4 linked regions of the Saccharomyces cerevisiae S288C genome follow. Each later gene encodes a partner of the first gene's protein in a complex. Each region holds a gene or a part of one and is shown in the gene's direction. Other genes may lie near its edges.

Evidence for each region.
Region 2: the proteins of SNF2 (region 1) and SWI3 are in contact, whole or in part, in a cryo-EM structure (PDB 7EGM), measured with the Saccharomyces cerevisiae proteins. Residues at the interface, in NP_014933.3 of Saccharomyces cerevisiae: Pro485 (codon at 3,378), Val486 (codon at 3,381), Gly487 (codon at 3,384), Ile488 (codon at 3,387), Asp489 (codon at 3,390), Thr490 (codon at 3,393), His491 (codon at 3,396), Ala493 (codon at 3,402), Thr494 (codon at 3,405), Tyr497 (codon at 3,414), Thr499 (codon at 3,420), Ile501 (codon at 3,426), Ala502 (codon at 3,429), Leu503 (codon at 3,432), Asn504 (codon at 3,435), Leu505 (codon at 3,438), Asp506 (codon at 3,441), Thr507 (codon at 3,444), Thr508 (codon at 3,447), Asn510 (codon at 3,453), Asp511 (codon at 3,456), Lys515 (codon at 3,468), Glu527 (codon at 3,504), Asn528 (codon at 3,507), Tyr531 (codon at 3,516), Asp532 (codon at 3,519), Tyr534 (codon at 3,525), Ala535 (codon at 3,528), Leu536 (codon at 3,531), Gln537 (codon at 3,534); in NP_012359.1 of Saccharomyces cerevisiae: Gly421 (codon at 2,884), Leu422 (codon at 2,887), Phe423 (codon at 2,890), Pro424 (codon at 2,893), Phe425 (codon at 2,896), Glu426 (codon at 2,899), Pro430 (codon at 2,911), Ser431 (codon at 2,914), Val432 (codon at 2,917), Gln433 (codon at 2,920), Leu434 (codon at 2,923), Pro435 (codon at 2,926), Asp436 (codon at 2,929), Met437 (codon at 2,932), Leu440 (codon at 2,941), Lys441 (codon at 2,944), Met444 (codon at 2,953), Leu514 (codon at 3,163), Lys516 (codon at 3,169), Val517 (codon at 3,172), Lys518 (codon at 3,175), Ile519 (codon at 3,178), Leu520 (codon at 3,181), Lys529 (codon at 3,208), Gln533 (codon at 3,220), Leu536 (codon at 3,229), Lys537 (codon at 3,232), Ile539 (codon at 3,238), Gln540 (codon at 3,241), Gly543 (codon at 3,250).
Region 3: the proteins of SNF2 (region 1) and SNF6 are in contact, whole or in part, in a cryo-EM structure (PDB 6UXV), measured with the Saccharomyces cerevisiae proteins. Residues at the interface, in NP_014933.3 of Saccharomyces cerevisiae: Thr467 (codon at 3,324), Leu468 (codon at 3,327), Leu469 (codon at 3,330), Ala470 (codon at 3,333), Asn471 (codon at 3,336), Ser472 (codon at 3,339), His474 (codon at 3,345), Lys476 (codon at 3,351), Phe477 (codon at 3,354), His564 (codon at 3,615), Asn566 (codon at 3,621), Leu568 (codon at 3,627), Ser569 (codon at 3,630), Lys570 (codon at 3,633), Ile571 (codon at 3,636), Arg572 (codon at 3,639), Asn575 (codon at 3,648), Gln577 (codon at 3,654), Asp578 (codon at 3,657); in NP_011838.1 of Saccharomyces cerevisiae: Arg84 (codon at 2,150), Leu85 (codon at 2,153), Pro87 (codon at 2,159), Glu88 (codon at 2,162), Gln89 (codon at 2,165), Leu90 (codon at 2,168), Ser91 (codon at 2,171), Asn92 (codon at 2,174), Ile93 (codon at 2,177), Ile94 (codon at 2,180), His95 (codon at 2,183), Asp96 (codon at 2,186), Phe103 (codon at 2,207), Asp116 (codon at 2,246), Thr124 (codon at 2,270), Cys128 (codon at 2,282), Asp129 (codon at 2,285), Ile131 (codon at 2,291).
Region 4: the proteins of SNF2 (region 1) and ARP9 are in contact, whole or in part, in a crystal structure (PDB 4I6M), measured with the Saccharomyces cerevisiae proteins. Residues at the interface, in NP_014933.3 of Saccharomyces cerevisiae: Lys622 (codon at 3,789), Lys623 (codon at 3,792), Lys625 (codon at 3,798), Arg626 (codon at 3,801), Leu627 (codon at 3,804), Phe629 (codon at 3,810), Gly630 (codon at 3,813), His631 (codon at 3,816), Arg632 (codon at 3,819), Leu633 (codon at 3,822), Ile634 (codon at 3,825), Thr636 (codon at 3,831), His637 (codon at 3,834), Leu640 (codon at 3,843), Glu641 (codon at 3,846), Glu644 (codon at 3,855), Arg647 (codon at 3,864); in NP_013747.1 of Saccharomyces cerevisiae: Glu28 (codon at 1,782), Thr29 (codon at 1,785), Phe30 (codon at 1,788), Tyr151 (codon at 2,151), Ser152 (codon at 2,154), Ile154 (codon at 2,160), Ser155 (codon at 2,163), Gln157 (codon at 2,169), Asp176 (codon at 2,226), Tyr177 (codon at 2,229), Ala178 (codon at 2,232), Tyr415 (codon at 2,943), Phe416 (codon at 2,946), Pro417 (codon at 2,949), Ile434 (codon at 3,000), Val435 (codon at 3,003), Gln438 (codon at 3,012), Ile439 (codon at 3,015), His442 (codon at 3,024), Thr446 (codon at 3,036), Phe447 (codon at 3,039), Trp463 (codon at 3,087), Asp464 (codon at 3,090), Gln466 (codon at 3,096), Phe467 (codon at 3,099).

Annotation. Positions count from the first base shown.
Region 1 is NC_001147.6:854,641-862,183, reverse strand, and holds SNF2 (SWI/SNF catalytic subunit SNF2), read left to right. Parts: upstream 1-1,925; coding exon 1,926-7,037; downstream 7,038-7,543. Other genes in the region: YPK9 (putative acid anhydride hydrolase), read right to left, coding at 1-1,009. UniProt on the Saccharomyces cerevisiae protein: Involved in transcriptional activation. Catalytic component of the SWI/SNF complex, an ATP-dependent chromatin-remodeling complex, which is required for the positive and negative regulation of gene expression of a large number of genes.
Region 2 is NC_001142.9:91,514-96,153, reverse strand, and holds SWI3 (Swi3p), read left to right. Parts: upstream 1-1,623; coding exon 1,624-4,101; downstream 4,102-4,640. Other genes in the region: KRE9 (Kre9p), read right to left, coding at 232-1,062; 60S ribosomal protein uL22 RPL17B, read right to left, coding at 4,497-4,640. UniProt on the Saccharomyces cerevisiae protein: Involved in transcriptional activation. Component of the SWI/SNF complex, an ATP-dependent chromatin-remodeling complex, which is required for the positive and negative regulation of gene expression of a large number of genes.
Region 3 is NC_001140.6:52,951-56,369, forward strand, and holds SNF6 (Snf6p), read left to right. Parts: upstream 1-1,900; coding exon 1,901-2,899; downstream 2,900-3,419. Other genes in the region: alkaline-responsive transcriptional regulator RIM101, read left to right, coding at 1-38; YHL026C (uncharacterized protein), read right to left, coding at 269-1,216. UniProt on the Saccharomyces cerevisiae protein: Involved in transcriptional activation. Component of the SWI/SNF complex, an ATP-dependent chromatin remodeling complex, which is required for the positive and negative regulation of gene expression of a large number of genes.
Region 4 is NC_001145.3:336,174-339,827, forward strand, and holds ARP9 (Arp9p), read left to right. Parts: upstream 1-1,614; coding exon 1,615-1,644; intron 1,645-1,730; coding exon 1,731-3,104; downstream 3,105-3,654. Other genes in the region: formin-binding protein HOF1, read left to right, coding at 1-1,134; YMR030W-A (uncharacterized protein), read left to right, coding at 1,140-1,430; RCH1 (Rch1p), read right to left, coding at 3,245-3,654.

The DNA of each region.
Region 1 (7,543 bases):
AAACTAATCCGAAAGTCAAGAAGCAGCACAGGTTGTAAATAATATACCAGAATTTTGAGGTCTGGTAAGCAGCGATACCAATAACTAAATCCTCTTCCGCAATGTAAAACCTTTGGTAATGCAAGTTTGGTGCATACTGTGGATAAAACTTTTCATGATAGTCAGGTTTTAGATATTCGCTATGCTGATTATGAACATCATCATGACCAGAAAAGCTTCCTCTATTATTTTCGCTTGCAGATCGCCTACTATCTGAAGATTCTAAAGAATGTGTAGAAGACTCGTCTTCTAGTATTTCATCTGTTTGACTTTCTAGTTCAATAGGAATTCTTTCTCTGGTCGTATATCTCGATAAACTGGATGATGAATGTGTAGCGGAATGATAAACGAACCCAGTGTCAGAATTTTCTCCCAGCCTTTGTGGTGCCCTTGAACCAGAGCGACCCCTCTTACTGAAAGATCCATAAGACTTTGCATTTGAGAGAGATGATGCTCTGGAAAAACTTCGAATAGAAGAACGCCTGGAAGATAGGCCCGTACCATAGATTCTATCTTGTTCATAAGCGGGGGTGGCATCCCAGGCCATGTCATAATCTGTATTTTCTAACGTGGAAGCGCCTTCAGCATTGGATATTTGCTCCTGAGTGAAAAATCGAAAATGAGAAGGGTTTCTAGAAGAGCTTCGAGACTGTTCAGCCGAGGATAATACTAAAGGCTCTGATTCAGTCAATCGGCGGCCTCTCTGCTCTAGGTTCCCTGAAGAATGCGGACTTGGGAGGTTGCTTGATTGAAAAGAATGAGGGTGATGGAATGATACAATAGAACTTGGCACGGCTTCGAATGTTGCACCTGCGTACGGTTCCGAATTGTTCTGATCCAGTACCATCGCGGAAGTCAATGTGGCCGCCGTAGAAGTAGTGGCTGTAGAAGAAAAAGAAGCCCTCGGCATTCTTCGGTTCCTTTCACTCCTTTGGCCATGTTGAATTTGGTTTGAAGAGGGAATATCCATTACCGGAGTATATGCAAGATCTATCAGTAAGTCTGGGCTCCTTTTTATTTTAAAGAAGAATCTATTGACTCTGAACTATTTTCAATCAAAAATAAATTCACAAGTCCAACACCTCCAACTCTATGGTATTGCGTTCTCTTTTTGCCCTTTTTTCCTTTTTTTCTTTTTTTCACTACTCTTTCCTTGATTTCCATTTTTTTTCATTTTTCACTCTTCTATCACCTCTTCATACCCATACCCCCTGTTGGCCGCGGCTGCCCTAAATACACACATATATATATATAAAACAAACAAGGCATTTTTCAAATTAATAAAACTAATAAAAAAAGCTATAGAGCCTTTTCTTAGAACACAGTGTTGAAATATTCGCTTTTTTCTTTTTATTGAAACTCCTTCACTTCCAAAAAGACACGATTCTTAATGGCTATTCTGAGTGAACATAAGGACACTAAGAACTAACAAGTAATTGAAAAAAAAAGAAGAAGACATGATGAAGAAGAATTAGTGAGCAAAATACAGTTGAAGTTCCTAACGCTTATTTTCCTTGCAGATTAATTCCAATACATTCGCCACTATTGGAATTTTGCAGGTAGCCAATTTTCGCGTATATATACTAGGTTTAGGAAAAATAGCCGCCGGTAAAAATAGTGATAGGCTGTTACCCGAATACCGTTGTTCGCGATATGTTAAAACCGCGTTTGAAAGACAAATATCAACAAATTGATTGACGAAACGGGGCCATCCTGAGGCGGTAGGACAATAAGTTAAAAGAAAGGTTACCTCTAGTCTCAATAAAGAAGATATTTGTGACGTACGTGGACCTTTTGTATATAAATCATCGGGAAGGTCAGCTATTCTGTTGTTTCTCTAATCGCGACTTTCTGCTATTTTCACGACTTTCGATTAATTATCTGCCATGAACATACCACAGCGTCAATTTAGCAACGAAGAGGTCAACCGCTGCTATTTAAGATGGCAGCATTTGAGAAATGAACACGGAATGAACGCTCCGAGTGTGCCGGAATTTATCTATTTGACTAAAGTGTTGCAATTTGCTGCCAAGCAGCGACAAGAATTACAAATGCAACGCCAACAGCAAGGCATTTCAGGTTCTCAGCAAAATATTGTTCCAAATTCTTCAGATCAAGCAGAACTGCCGAATAATGCTTCCTCGCACATTTCTGCTTCTGCTTCCCCGCATTTAGCTCCGAATATGCAATTGAATGGAAATGAGACCTTTAGCACTTCTGCTCATCAATCACCAATCATGCAAACACAGATGCCATTAAATAGCAATGGTGGTAATAACATGCTACCACAACGGCAATCTTCGGTTGGTTCATTAAATGCAACTAATTTTTCACCAACACCAGCAAACAATGGAGAAAATGCTGCGGAGAAACCAGATAACTCAAACCATAATAACTTAAACCTTAATAATTCCGAGCTTCAACCGCAAAATCGATCATTACAAGAACACAACATACAGGATTCAAATGTGATGCCAGGTTCGCAGATAAATTCTCCTATGCCCCAGCAGGCGCAGATGCAGCAGGCACAATTCCAAGCACAACAGGCGCAACAAGCGCAACAGGCACAACAGGCACAACAAGCACAAGCGAGACTGCAACAGGGGAGAAGATTACCCATGACAATGTTTACTGCCGAGCAATCCGAACTGTTAAAGGCCCAAATCACATCTCTAAAATGTCTAGTAAATAGAAAGCCTATTCCGTTTGAATTTCAGGCTGTTATCCAAAAATCTATTAACCATCCTCCAGATTTCAAAAGAATGTTACTGTCTTTGAGTGAGTTTGCGAGAAGAAGACAACCCACAGATCAAAATAACCAATCAAATCTCAATGGCGGCAACAATACGCAGCAACCCGGCACCAATTCCCACTACAATAACACTAACACTGACAACGTTTCTGGGCTTACCAGAAATGCACCTTTAGATAGCAAAGACGAAAATTTTGCATCTGTTTCACCAGCTGGTCCATCTAGTGTACATAATGCGAAGAATGGCACCCTCGATAAAAATTCGCAAACTGTAAGTGGCACTCCAATCACGCAAACAGAATCGAAAAAAGAGGAAAACGAAACCATTTCAAACGTAGCTAAAACAGCTCCTAATAGTAATAAGACCCACACCGAGCAAAATAACCCGCCAAAACCGCAGAAACCCGTTCCTTTAAACGTCCTTCAAGATCAATATAAGGAAGGAATAAAAGTGGTAGATATAGATGATCCTGATATGATGGTTGATTCTTTTACGATGCCCAATATCTCACATAGTAATATCGATTATCAGACTTTATTGGCCAATTCGGATCATGCAAAGTTTACTATTGAACCTGGCGTTCTACCGGTTGGTATTGACACACATACCGCTACTGACATTTACCAAACTTTAATTGCATTGAACCTAGATACTACGGTAAATGACTGTTTGGATAAGCTACTAAATGACGAATGTACGGAATCAACCAGGGAAAATGCTCTTTACGATTACTACGCCTTACAATTATTACCGTTACAAAAAGCCGTAAGAGGTCATGTATTACAATTTGAATGGCATCAAAATTCTTTATTAACCAATACACATCCAAATTTTCTTTCGAAAATAAGAAACATCAACGTTCAAGATGCATTGCTAACAAACCAACTTTATAAGAATCATGAATTACTTAAGTTAGAAAGGAAGAAGACTGAGGCAGTGGCCAGATTAAAGTCGATGAATAAATCCGCCATCAATCAATATAATAGAAGACAAGATAAAAAGAATAAAAGGTTGAAGTTTGGCCATAGACTCATTGCTACGCATACTAATTTAGAAAGGGATGAGCAAAAGAGAGCTGAAAAAAAGGCAAAAGAACGTTTACAGGCTTTAAAGGCGAACGATGAGGAAGCCTATATAAAATTATTAGACCAAACCAAAGATACAAGAATTACACATCTTCTAAGGCAAACAAACGCATTTTTAGATTCTTTAACAAGAGCCGTGAAAGATCAACAAAAGTACACTAAAGAAATGATTGATTCCCACATAAAGGAAGCATCGGAGGAAGTGGATGATTTGTCCATGGTCCCCAAGATGAAGGATGAAGAATATGATGACGACGACGACAATTCTAACGTCGATTATTACAATGTCGCACATAGAATTAAAGAAGATATCAAGAAGCAGCCTTCAATATTGGTTGGTGGTACCTTAAAGGACTATCAAATCAAGGGTTTACAGTGGATGGTTTCGCTTTTCAATAATCATTTAAATGGTATTTTAGCAGACGAAATGGGTCTTGGTAAGACTATCCAGACGATATCCTTACTTACATATTTATATGAAATGAAGAATATTCGTGGGCCATATTTAGTCATTGTTCCTTTATCTACACTGTCAAATTGGAGCAGTGAATTCGCGAAATGGGCTCCTACCTTAAGAACTATATCATTTAAAGGTTCGCCAAATGAGAGGAAAGCCAAACAGGCTAAAATAAGGGCAGGTGAATTTGATGTAGTTCTGACTACCTTTGAGTATATTATTAAAGAAAGAGCACTTTTATCCAAGGTCAAGTGGGTCCATATGATTATTGATGAAGGCCATAGAATGAAAAATGCGCAATCCAAGCTTTCTTTAACCTTGAACACACATTACCATGCAGATTATAGATTAATTTTGACAGGTACACCACTTCAAAACAACTTGCCAGAATTATGGGCCTTATTGAATTTTGTGTTACCCAAGATTTTCAATTCCGTGAAATCTTTTGATGAATGGTTCAATACACCCTTTGCCAACACCGGTGGGCAAGATAAAATTGAGTTGAGTGAAGAAGAGACGCTTTTGGTTATCAGGAGATTGCATAAAGTCTTGAGACCCTTTTTATTGCGTCGTTTGAAAAAGGATGTAGAAAAAGAATTACCGGATAAAGTTGAGAAGGTAGTGAAGTGCAAAATGAGCGCTTTACAACAAATTATGTACCAACAAATGTTGAAATATCGTCGTCTTTTTATCGGTGATCAAAATAATAAGAAAATGGTAGGTTTAAGAGGTTTCAATAATCAAATCATGCAACTAAAGAAAATCTGTAATCATCCTTTTGTATTTGAAGAAGTTGAGGACCAAATCAATCCAACAAGAGAAACGAATGATGATATTTGGCGTGTTGCTGGTAAATTTGAACTATTAGATAGAATTTTGCCTAAGCTTAAGGCAACTGGGCATAGAGTATTAATTTTTTTTCAAATGACCCAAATTATGGATATTATGGAAGATTTTTTAAGGTACATTAATATCAAGTACCTGAGGTTAGATGGTCATACAAAATCTGATGAACGTAGTGAGTTGTTACGTCTATTTAACGCCCCTGATTCTGAATACTTGTGCTTTATCTTATCAACTAGAGCGGGTGGTTTGGGTTTAAATTTACAAACTGCAGACACTGTCATTATTTTTGATACTGACTGGAATCCTCATCAAGATTTGCAAGCTCAGGATAGAGCGCATAGAATAGGTCAGAAGAATGAAGTTAGAATTCTAAGATTGATTACTACGAATTCAGTTGAAGAAGTTATCCTAGAGAGAGCCTACAAGAAGCTAGATATCGATGGTAAAGTCATTCAAGCAGGTAAATTCGATAACAAATCTACATCGGAGGAACAAGAAGCGTTGCTTAGATCTTTGCTGGATGCAGAAGAGGAACGTAGAAAGAAAAGAGAGTCTGGTGTTGAAGAAGAAGAGGAGTTAAAAGACTCAGAAATCAACGAAATTCTTGCTCGAAATGACGAAGAAATGGCTGTTCTTACAAGGATGGATGAAGATAGATCAAAGAAGGAGGAAGAATTGGGAGTAAAGAGCCGTCTCTTAGAAAAGAGTGAATTACCTGATATTTACAGTAGAGATATTGGTGCCGAGCTCAAACGTGAAGAATCAGAATCTGCTGCTGTTTACAATGGAAGGGGTGCAAGAGAACGTAAGACGGCAACTTACAACGATAATATGTCTGAAGAACAGTGGTTAAGACAATTTGAAGTTAGCGATGATGAAAAAAATGACAAGCAGGCAAGAAAACAACGAACAAAGAAGGAAGATAAGAGCGAGGCGATTGATGGGAATGGAGAAATTAAAGGCGAAAACATTGACGCTGATAATGACGGTCCTAGAATTAATAATATATCGGCCGAAGATCGGGCAGATACGGATTTGGCAATGAATGACGATGATTTCTTGTCTAAAAAGAGAAAGGCAGGAAGGCCCCGTGGAAGACCTAAGAAAGTGAAACTTGAAGGATCTGAAAATTCTGAACCACCAGCGCTTGAATCAAGTCCAGTTACTGGCGATAACTCTCCCAGTGAGGATTTTATGGACATTCCAAAACCACGTACAGCGGGAAAAACATCTGTTAAATCAGCAAGAACTTCAACAAGGGGCCGTGGTCGCGGTCGTGGTCGTGGTCGAGGGCGAGGACGTGGACGAGGAAGGCCGCCAAAAGCAAGAAATGGGCTTGATTATGTCCGCACGCCCGCTGCGGCAACGAGTCCTATTGATATTAGAGAGAAAGTTGCTAAACAAGCTCTAGACTTATACCACTTTGCTCTCAATTATGAAAATGAAGCTGGAAGGAAACTTTCTGACATTTTCCTCTCCAAACCTTCCAAAGCACTATATCCCGACTACTATATGATTATTAAGTACCCTGTCGCCTTTGATAATATTAACACGCATATTGAAACGCTAGCTTACAACTCCCTTAAAGAGACCCTTCAAGACTTTCATCTGATATTTTCCAATGCTAGGATATACAATACTGAGGGTTCAGTAGTATACGAAGACTCTTTAGAACTGGAAAAAGTGGTTACGAAGAAATACTGTGAGATAATGGGCGATAACTCACAACTCGACTTTACTGAATTTGATGAACAGTATGGCACCAGACCCCTCGTCTTGCCTCCTGTTGTTACTTCAAGCGTGGCTGAATCTTTCACAGATGAAGCGGACTCGAGCATGACAGAAGCGAGTGTATAGTACCTTCCTAAAGCAATATAAGTACTTATTCGTTTATACGTAGACAAACATTAATCCCTCTTTTTTTTATTGTACCCATTAACCGAGTTGGGATGTTTAATATCTCTAGTATAACGTGCCGTATATTTCCTATATATATATATATATATATTTATATATATTAGATTTTAAGTTAATTGTTCAACTAATTGATCGATTTCGCCTCTTATAATTCTGCTATACATATTTATTTTAAACCATCTCTTTGAACAAAGTAATATGTCGTCATCATAGTGAACTTGTTCTTGGACCTAATTATAAATTTTCCAATACGGAACAAATTATTTGTTCCAACACCCTGCTAGCAACACAGGGCAATATATATAAAGAAGATATATCTACTACTTCTTTTCCTTGAGTATATGTCTTTAATAGATATTTCATGTATTTGATTCATCTTTAATGGAAATACTCGGAGATTATATACAGGTCCGAGATGGCCTTAAAGATATTTCCCACAAATGTAT
Region 2 (4,640 bases), on another chromosome or scaffold:
CGCTTTTATTCTTACCTTTATGTACTGTTGCCTCTATATGTCTTCCCTTCATATAATAAATTCCATTTCTAAAAAAATTGTAGTTGTGTTTATAGATGTATAGATAGATAAATGAATGTGTACTTGCTGCCTTAACGCCTTCCGCTAAAAACTTTTTGATATTTATTTTATTTTTAACCTTTCCTGACTTCAACCCTTACTGTAATGATGATAGTAGAAGCCGTCTATTTTTCATACTTTTCTCATGTTGATTTTCCTTGCAGACAAAGACAATCTCTTGGATGGTTTGTACCAACCACCATTATCTGAAGGCATAGATGCAGGAGTAGCGTAGTTTACTCCCGATGATATCGTATAAGACCAGCCAGGAGTTATCGTAGTTGCTTGCTCTGGCAATGACCCAAAGGTAGAGTAATATGTCACAGCACTAGTGGCAAATTTCCTTGTCCATGTGGTAGCGGTCACTTTAGTATTTGGCTGCATTTGCATTGGAGCGAAACGCGACGTACCAGTCTGCTTGGTGTACGGAACAGTAAATGAACGACTGTCAATAGTAGTGGCTTGGGCGTTGTTTGTAGTGGTTGTTTGAATAGAAGTCTGGGGAGTAGGTTCAGTTGTGGCACTATATGTATAAGCCGTAACACCGCCCATGGAAGTCAACTGGAATCTTGGTGTATAATGGATAGTGTAACCTTGACCGTCCACCTGGGCAAAAACTTGAATGTAATATTGACCGTTCCCAGTTAAGGTCGAAGCAAACTCAGCTGTGTAAGAGTAAACTTTATCATCTTGTGTTAGCTCACTTGGAGTAATTTTACTGGCAAGTACGGCCACACAGTCAATGTTGTTATTAGGACCAGTACAAAGACTGAACGTGAAAGTTGAAATCTTGCTTAACGAGGGATATGCCCCATTATCCATCCATTCAACGGGAACAGAGACAGTACCACCACTTGGACTGAATGTTGCCTTGGAGCTGGGGGAAACAATATTCACATCTCCCAGCACAAATGAGACTAAAAACACCAAAGCACATATGATGGAATTTCTTTGTAAACGCATTATCTATAATATGTCACAGTTGCTGATTCTCTGAGAAGGAAGTAAAAAGCGAAAGAGTAGATTCCTAGTAATCAAAACAAAGTGTGAACTGCCACTTTTAGCGCTTCTTGGAACTATCAAACTGGAGCAAATCTGGCTTCAAGAATGCTTTGAGACTCCTGTTCTATTCCTGTATTATCCTTGAAGATCTTTTTCGAGGAAAAAAAAAAAGAAATGTAAATAAAACACCTAATCGTCAAAAGTGATATTATATTGAACCGCCGTGGTTACGATGGAATAATGGTCAATACGCAGTTTAGATGGCATCCAACAATTCAGGATGGCCAATGATGTTATTTTAGTTTGAATTGATTACTTTTGAGCTAGTTTAAATTCGATTTAAGAGCCATTAAGTAGGCATCACGAATAACGAGGCCGGACGTTTGGCGTTTAGGCCATTGGCGAAAAGACGAAAACAAACTATATCAGATACGCAAGAGGAATGTGTAAAGGCCATGCAAGGCGCGATATATTGGTACATCGAGGCGCGTTCAGAGACCAATTGTGATACGGTTTGCAAGCATGGAGAATACACTGGGTGAGGGGTCCACGGTAAACGCTTCCGTGGACGTGGACCAACATGGCAATGACAACAATAGTGATAGCAACGCTAATGCAGCTGTGGCAGGGGTTGCCAATACAGATACTGCTGGTGAAGAATCGCAGCAACAAGATGAGTCTCTGAAGGATGAAGCAACTGTTCCGAACACACGCGATGCAGAAAGTGAGGCGATAACGGTAACGGCAAAGCAGCAGCCGACTATGCAAGCGAATAAGCTAGATTCCCAGGAAACACCTTCTACAGAAGAAAGCAGGGCCCAGAACGTCTTTGGCCAAGATAATGAGGATAGTGATAATCTCTTTGGCGAAACCGAGAGTTCTGTTTCGAACAATGAGGCAAACACTCCTAGTATACCTACGAACCCGGTAGACAATGAAAACAATAAGCCTGCTATTAAGGAAGACAGCACAATACAGGATTCAAATGGTGACGTTAAAAACATGGAGGACGTCAAAATACAAAAAGAGGAAGAACCAGAGAATAACACTGTTATTGAAGGTGTCAAAGAAGAAAGTCAGCCAGATGAGAACACAAAGGAAATGGATGAAGTGGAAGAAGATGATGAGGATGACGATCAACCGATGATTAGTCCTGATAATTCCATTTTTGGAGACACAAAGAGTGAGTCTAAACAACTAGGCAACACTTCGTCGGTTGCTAATACTCCATCTGAAATTCCAGATGCGCATAAAGCTGAACAGGAGGATATCATAGAAAAGACGGAAAGTGTAGATAAGAAGGTAGATAGTGGCGAAGAGAGAAACGAACAGGAACGTGAAATCATGAACGATCACTCCAAAAGTGCCAATCCAAAGAAAACCACTATCACCAGAGTAGAACCCGAAACTTTTGAGATACCGCAAGCACATGAAATTGTTATTCCAAGTTATTCTAAATGGTTCAATCTAGAAAAAATTCATTCCATTGAAGTTCAATCGTTACCTGAATTTTTCACCAATAGGATTCCATCAAAGACACCTGAAGTTTACATGAGATACAGAAACTTCATGGTAAATTCTTACAGGCTGAACCCCAACGAATATTTCAGTGTCACTACGGCGAGGAGAAACGTCTCTGGTGATGCTGCTGCATTATTCAGATTGCATAAATTCTTAACAAAATGGGGGCTAATAAACTATCAGGTTGACTCCAAACTATTACCTAAGAACATCGAACCCCCACTAACGTCTCAATATTCCACAAGGCATGATGCCCCCAGAGGACTATTCCCATTCGAAAGTTACAAACCATCTGTACAACTGCCGGATATGGCAAAGCTTAAAAAAATGATGAACACTAGTGATTCGGAGAGTACTTTATATAAATATTTGAAAGAAAGCAAAAGAAAATATGATGAAATAACTCACCCCCCCAGTACCACTGATGATGAAAATGGTGACAAAAATGATAATGGTGGTAAAATGAACAATGAAGTAAGTACGTCAACAAGCATGACTGGTGATGCCAATCTATTGGAAGAAGGCGAAACTTCACGTCCTCTGAAAAAAGTCAAAATTCTAGAACAAATTGATGAAAATTGGTCAAAAGAAGATTTGCAAAAGCTATTAAAGGGAATACAAGAATTCGGCGCTGACTGGTACAAAGTGGCCAAAAACGTTGGCAATAAGTCGCCTGAACAGTGTATCTTACGTTTCCTTCAATTGCCCATTGAAGATAAATTTTTATACGGTGACGGCAATGGCAAGGGTGATAATGACAACGGGTTAGGACCTTTGAAATATGCTCCTCACTTGCCATTTTCGAAGAGCGAAAACCCCGTTTTATCAACAATAGCATTCTTGGTGGGTTTGGTCAATCCGAAGACTGTACAGTCGATGACCCAGAGAGCCATTCAGTCCGCAGAATCAATAAAATCACAAAAAGAGGAAATCTCTGACCAAAAGCCAATTGAACATATTAAAGAAGGTTCAGAAATTGCCATATCATCATTGGGTTATAGGAGTCATATTTTCGCTACCAACGAGGAAAGGCAAATGAATTTTTTGACTAACGAGCTAATAAGACTTCAAATGGAAAAATTGGACGCTAAATTAAATCATTTAAAGAAACTAGAAAAATTTATGGAGCTAGAAAGGAAAACCCTAGAAAGACAACAGGAAAACTTACTAATTCAGAGATTGAACTTCAACCAAAACTCCAGCAAGATTGTAAACGTTTTAAGCAAATGCTTGAATTTAATATCCGACAGCAATATCAATAATAGTTCAGTGGCGGAGAAGGAGGAAATCAGGTCGCAGATAGACCATTTCAAAAGTATGCTATCGAAACCTGAAACTTTAAGTATTGGAAAGAATCCATTTAACAAACCTAATATTGAAACAGGTGAAAACCATAATGGCCAAAGTATATCTAACGAGAATGATGTCAAACCCATTTCTATTGAAGCACCTCAATTTTACAGGTATTGGTCGGCATAACAATGACACATGGAGATCATTTTTGTTTTTGTTGTAATTATTCTTCATTAGTAACACTTTCTATTTTGTTTCGCTCTATATTTTTGCTTATTTTCTTTCTTCTAGGTTCATTTCTTTAATGGTGCGTCACTTGACTTGGCTTCTCTCTGATTTTTATCCCATTTCTCTAGATTCGACTAGACATGTTATGTACATGTAGATATATATCTATAATTGTGTTATTTTCTATTTTTTCTATTTTTTTTATTTAAAAGAGCCTTTATCAAAAGTTATTTTTCTTGTTCTGTGTTGTTCTTAGTTTGATTTTGATTCTGTGTATTGGCCTAAACAAATTAGTATATAGTAGTATATAAATCAAATATTCACTTTAAAAGATTTTAAAATTAAAAAAGCATTTAAGCAGAGATACGTTTTTGGGCAGCAATTCTACCTCTTTGTCTAGAAGTCAATCTGACAACCTTCTTTTCAGCAGCCTTGGCGACAGCTTCTTCCTTTTCGGTAACAACCAATTCAATGTGAGATGGAGAAGATTCGTACTT
Region 3 (3,419 bases), on another chromosome or scaffold:
TTCGCATCTTGACCAAGTATCCCAAAATTTTGGTATGATATGGATTGTCGGATATTTTATTCTTAGTTGTTTCTTTGCGGCTGTATAGTAAATGAATAAATCACACATGCCCTAGCGCGGCGTCGCGGATTAAACAAGGTAACAATGGTTAAAGGAAAAATTATTTGTTAAGGTGGGTATATTATAGATTGCTAATTGTAAAGTATTAATAGTTTATTAAGTATTAAACTAGAGTTCGCACATGCTTTTATTTTTTTGTTGCTTTTCTTCACGCTACCGCTTCTTGAGACTGTTGTTTGGTAGTACTGATATCTTGATCGGTTGATCCCGAGCTGCGATTACCCGTGGAGCAAACTTCTTGATCCTGCTGTAGCGTACCGTTTGCTAAGCCTTCATAGTAAAGTTCCTCGTGAAACTGGTTTCTCAACACAATGACGATGATGGCCACTGGAGTGCATACAAAGGCAATTACAACGGCATAAATCAACTTCATGACCTGCGGTAGTGGATAATCGTTGAAGTAGTAGTCGTGGGACCCGACCTTATGGCCTATACCAGCAAGGATACCCATAGTGACTGGCCAAATGACAATGAACATGGCAATGGCTAGGATCATAGATCTGATGAATTTCTGCACAAACCATTCTATAAAGTTCATGAATTTGGACTGAGTAGAATCATGAATGAACTGAGATGTGAGAAAACCTTTCAACGTAGCTTCTTTACCTTTGGGAATGATTCCTCTATTGACCTCTAAATAGCCAAAGAGCCAATTATGCTTATGATACAGAGTGTTCTGCTTCGCAACGACGTTGTCTTTGGATTCGAAGTAATCCACAATGAAACGCTTTTTAGGGGGTGGTATTTCTTCGTTAGATTCGGTTTTCAGTGGTGACGGTTTCGTAATCCATTTATTCAATCTGAAAACAGGCCTCTTGTAGTCATCGAATCCAACTAAAATTTCCTCGCTAGCCCATGTAAGACCCACCTGGATGAATAAACTTAGTGCACAATCGCCTGAAATGGTGTGAGGAAATGCCCATAAGGTGATAAGATCTACACGGGAATGGTACATGGCATATGCGATGGCAAACTCGATGCCGCCCGAGATTATTGCAGAACCTAGCGCTTGGATGACGAAAAGGTAGAAGATGATGAACCAGATGGAATTTCTGAACCCGGTCGGGGTCGCTGGCGCTGGCTCTGAGGATTTCATATATGTGAAGAGCGTCTATTTTCAAGGGTGTTGATGCATATATATCCGTATATATGTGTGCCGGTGGAAGGTTATAACATCTTGAAGAAAGAAAGAGGAGAAATTGGTTTTAGATCAAGGACAGATAAACTATATCTTTCAAAAGCCGATGCAAATCGTATACAGCAAATATCAATGAAGGAATGCGATGGAGGTGATGCTAGTGTGGACTGCACTATTTTTTTTTCCTGTTTTTTTCCACTTTTGTGTAGGAAGAGTATTGAATCAGGAAAGCGGGAAAAACCGCAAAGAAAAAAGTAAACTTATCCGTGAAAATCAATTACATTACCGAAAATGGCAAGATCCAAACAAGAAAAGTAAGTAAACGAATGCGAATACTGGAACAAGCAGGGCATAAAGAGGCACATGCGTCGTTTGTAGCCGACGTGCTTCATTTATCAGGTTAGTTGGCAGCGGCTGGACCATACAGGTTCTCACAATGTGTTGGTCTACGTTCGGTCATGCACCACGGTTGTTCCGTCAAACGGTCAGAAAACACACGCGGAAAATCCAAAGGAAAAGATGGGAGAGAAAAAACATGAAGTTGAGAAGCAACGAAACAAGGTTTGATCCAGAAAGGGGAGGCTAAAGGCGAAAAAGGCGAAAGAAAAGCGTTTAAGAGAATTTTACAAACGTAGTAAAATAATGGGTGTCATCAAGAAGAAAAGATCGCACCATGGAAAGGCTTCGCGCCAACAATACTACTCTGGGGTACAGGTTGGGGGAGTAGGCAGCATGGGCGCCATAAACAATAACATCCCGTCGTTGACGAGCTTCGCGGAGGAAAACAACTATCAGTACGGATACAGCGGCTCCAGTGCCGGCATGAATGGCAGATCGCTTACGTACGCGCAGCAACAGCTTAATAAGCAAAGACAGGACTTCGAACGTGTACGACTTAGACCAGAACAGCTCAGCAATATCATACATGACGAGAGCGACACGATATCGTTCCGATCCAACCTTTTGAAGAACTTTATAAGCTCGAACGACGCATTTAACATGCTGAGTTTGACCACGGTACCGTGCGACAGAATTGAGAAGTCCAGATTGTTCAGTGAAAAAACAATAAGATATCTCATGCAAAAACAACACGAAATGAAAACACAAGCGGCAGAGTTGCAAGAAAAGCCTCTGACGCCACTTAAATACACAAAACTTATAGCTGCGGCAGAGGACGGAAGCCGTAGCACAAAGGATATGATAGATGCTGTCTTCGAGCAAGATAGTCATTTGAGGTACCAGCCGGACGGCGTGGTCGTACATCGTGACGATCCTGCGCTGGTGGGTAAACTCCGCGGAGATCTCCGCGAAGCGCCGGCGGACTACTGGACGCATGCTTATAGGGATGTTTTGGCGCAATACCACGAGGCCAAGGAGCGTATCAGGCAGAAGGAAGTAACTGCAGGTGAAGCACAGGACGAAGCCAGCTTGCAGCAGCAACAGCAGCAAGATTTGCAGCAACAGCAACAAGTAGTGACTACAGTTGCCTCGCAAAGTCCTCATGCAACTGCAACGGAAAAGGAGCCAGTACCCGCCGTGGTTGACGACCCACTGGAGAACATGTTCGGAGATTATTCCAATGAGCCGTTCAACACCAATTTCGACGATGAATTTGGAGATCTTGATGCTGTATTTTTTTAATAGCCATGGGCGGCTACTTCTTGGAAATATATACTTTCCTTTTACATATTTAGTATAGTTATACATGTGGATGTGTATGGAGGTAAGATCAGATAGACCCTTCACTGTTTTCTGTGTATTCCTTGTGACATAGTGGATTTGTGCAGCTACTGCTTATAGGAAGCAGTGCCTGCAAAACAATTCATTCGTTGGTTGATGTGGCGCGCTGACTGAATGTGTAGGGTCTGTTGTTACCCCCTTGCTCCGGGGGCCCACATCTCTCTGACGCGAAGAAAGGCTCGAGATGTGCCAGTCGTAAACACCGCCTCATTTCCCTTGCATTCTCCTCCAGTGAAAAAGCAGTACGACCTATCTCCGAAAAAAAAAAACCTCCTGTGCGTTTACTGTGGATCATGCAACACGATTTCTGTAGATTAAAGACGTTTTTGGCATGGACTAAGCTAAATTCCGTTTGATTAGCCGCCCATAACGGGTGGCAAACAACACGATGAAACTCTATATCCCCGCTTAACGTTTCGGC
Region 4 (3,654 bases), on another chromosome or scaffold:
AGCAGTATCTCCACGACAAGTAAAAAAACCGAATCGTATATGGACAATATAAGGAAACTATCTTCTCAGCTGAAGGAAACCGAAAATAAAAGGAAACTAGCTTCAATAGACAAATATGAGAAACCATTGCCATCTCCAGAAGTCACCATGGCTACACAATTTAGAAATTCCACACCCGTCATACGTAATGAGACAAAAGTGGTTGCTAACCCAACATTATCTTTGAGGTCTTCACCCGTCCAGTTACAGAGCAATGTGGATGACTCCGTGTTAAGGCAGAAACCTGATAAACCAAGGCCGATTGTTGGGGAAGAACAACTTAAACCTGATGAAGATTCGAAAAATCCTGATGAAAAAGGTCTAATGGTGCATAAAAGAAATCAATCTCTCAGCTCACCATCAGAATCAAGTTCTTCTAATCCAACGGATTTTAGCCACATCAAAAAGAGACAAAGTATGGAATCTATGACTACATCCGTAAGTTCAATGGCCAATAGTATAGACGACTCACAGAGATTTGCCAAATCATGGAACTCGTCAAATAGGAAAAGAAAATCTATGAGCCATTTGCAAGTACCCTCATCCGCTTCTTCGAGGTCGGATGATGGGGGAAGAACGCCTAACTCTGCGCACAACCTCAATGAAGATGATTATAACACGAGGAGAGATACCAGTACAAGCACAATTTTGTTCAAACCTCCTGTGGCAGTAAGAGGAACGTCTAGGGGGCACACGCATAGACAATCCATGATAATGCAAGATTCAAGTAATCCAATTGAAGATGCCTTGTACGAAATGGAAAGAATCCAAAGTAGTTCTAAACCAGGTACAAAAACAGGAAACATCATGGATGAGAGAGGTGTGGTCAGGGATAGAGGTATTACTGTTACCTTGCCTATTGTCACCAGTGAAGGTTTTCCAGTCATTGAATATGCCAAGGCCATGTATCCATTGATTGGAAATGAGGCACCTGGATTAGCGAATTTCCATAAGGGCGACTATCTGCTAATTACTGAGATTGTTAATAAAGATTGGTATAAAGGTGAAGTTTATGATAATGACCGTATAGATAGAAATCATAGGATAGGATTAATTCCCTATAATTTCATTCAGCTACTGCATCAAGGTCTTTGATCTCGATGTATATCAATTTTACTAGTTTTCTGATAAAAGAAAAAAAGTATAATGTCAGATTTTTGTTAAGTAGAAATAGAAAGATATACGCTGCCGTGGGAGAAGGACACCTCTCCGGATTTGTAACTAAAAATCATAAAATATCACGTCTTTCCTTCATATTTTCAAAAAAAAAAAAAGTTTTCTTTACCATTTTTGACACAATAATCACGATAATTGTTAGGTCAGGCATTCCCTTTCCACTTTTATGTTCATTTGGACGCAATAAGATATACATATTATTTAATGTGCTCTAATGACAGTTCTACTGTGTTTATATCATTAGAGTCACTTGTTACGAATACTACATATTTCCGCGCAGTGGCTAAAAGCAAATTTCAACATTATAAATCTCTAATAGTAAACTGACAATATTGCGGAATTAGAAAAAATGTACCACGCGAAGTTAAGTGTCTTGAACAACTACTATATGCATTGAATATGGCTCCATTTAGGCAGGACAGTATTTTGGTACGTATTTAGTTCATCAATGGATTTTTTAAGTCTTCACGAACAGTTTTTGGTTAATCTTTTATACTAACAACAATTCATAACAGATAATATACCCCAGATCTCAAACTACTCTCGTTCAATTTGGTTTGAATGAAGAAACATTCACTGTACCTGAGCTGGAAATACCAACACAGATTTATCGGACCACGAGACAAGATGGTTCCTACACATATCATTCAACGAACAAGGATAATAAAGCCGAATTAATCAAACCAATCCAAAATGGTGAAATAATAGACATAAGCGCCTTTACACAATTTCTTAGACTAATATTTGTATCTATTTTGTCTGATAGAGCTAATAAAAATCAAGATGCTTTTGAAGCTGAATTATCTAATATTCCTCTTCTACTGATTACGCACCACTCTTGGTCGCAATCGGATCTAGAGATTATTACTCAATATGTCTTCGAAAGTCTTGAGATAAACAATCTAATCCAATTGCCGGCTTCCTTAGCGGCCACTTATTCTATGATTTCGTTGCAGAATTGTTGTATTATTGATGTTGGAACACATCATACAGATATTATTCCTATTGTTGACTATGCACAATTAGACCATCTTGTCTCTTCAATACCAATGGGCGGACAGTCTATTAATGATTCTCTAAAAAAACTACTACCTCAATGGGACGATGATCAGATAGAATCATTGAAAAAATCACCAATTTTTGAGGTGCTCAGTGACGACGCCAAAAAACTATCAAGTTTCGATTTTGGAAACGAAAATGAGGACGAGGATGAAGGAACTTTAAACGTTGCCGAGATTATTACAAGTGGTCGTGATACACGTGAAGTTTTAGAGGAAAGAGAACGTGGTCAAAAAGTCAAAAATGTTAAAAATAGCGACTTGGAATTCAATACTTTTTGGGATGAAAAAGGTAACGAAATTAAAGTTGGTAAGCAAAGATTCCAAGGATGTAATAACCTGATTAAGAATATTTCTAATCGTGTAGGATTGACGTTAGATAACATAGATGATATTAACAAAGCTAAAGCCGTTTGGGAAAATATTATCATCGTCGGTGGCACTACTTCAATTTCAGGTTTTAAAGAAGCTTTACTGGGTCAACTACTGAAAGACCATTTAATTATAGAGCCAGAGGAAGAGAAGTCAAAAAGAGAAGAGGAAGCGAAATCCGTATTACCAGCTGCAACAAAAAAGAAAAGCAAGTTTATGACAAATAGCACCGCATTTGTTCCAACTATAGAATACGTACAGTGTCCTACAGTAATCAAACTGGCTAAATATCCAGATTACTTTCCTGAGTGGAAGAAAAGTGGATATTCAGAGATTATATTCTTGGGTGCCCAAATTGTTTCTAAGCAAATTTTCACTCATCCTAAAGATACATTTTATATCACAAGAGAAAAGTATAATATGAAAGGACCGGCTGCTCTTTGGGACGTGCAATTTTAAGAATACGTGATAGATGCTTCGTGTATCCAAAATCCGTGTGAATATGTGCTGTTTAGTTTTTTCCATCCAATGAGGATGGGAAATATATACATAAACGTTATGTAATATATAGAATTCATGCAAAATTAACAAGGGAAATATCACCTTGGTTGTGTATATGGGACGTTGTTCGACAGAACGGATTGATTTTCACCAGTTCCAATTGATATGATCTTTTCCAAATCAACTTCCTCATTCTCATTTGCACAAGATGACTCGCTTCCGTCTGCTTGAGCGTCCTTTTGTATCCATCTTTTGAACAAGCTTACAAAGAAATTTGCCGTCATGACTTGCTCAACTTGATATAAAACCAAGGGAACCAACAACTTACCCAGGTGTTCTTTTTTATCGCCGTATTGTGAAGTAATTAGTGATACACCCAGTGCTGCAGTTTTAGCCGGGCCACAAAACATAATGCAAATCGCATCTTCCTTTGAATAATAAAAAGGCCTAAAGATATTATACGAATAGCGGTACAATCTTGTAGATTTGCCCTCTATTGGTTCATGAG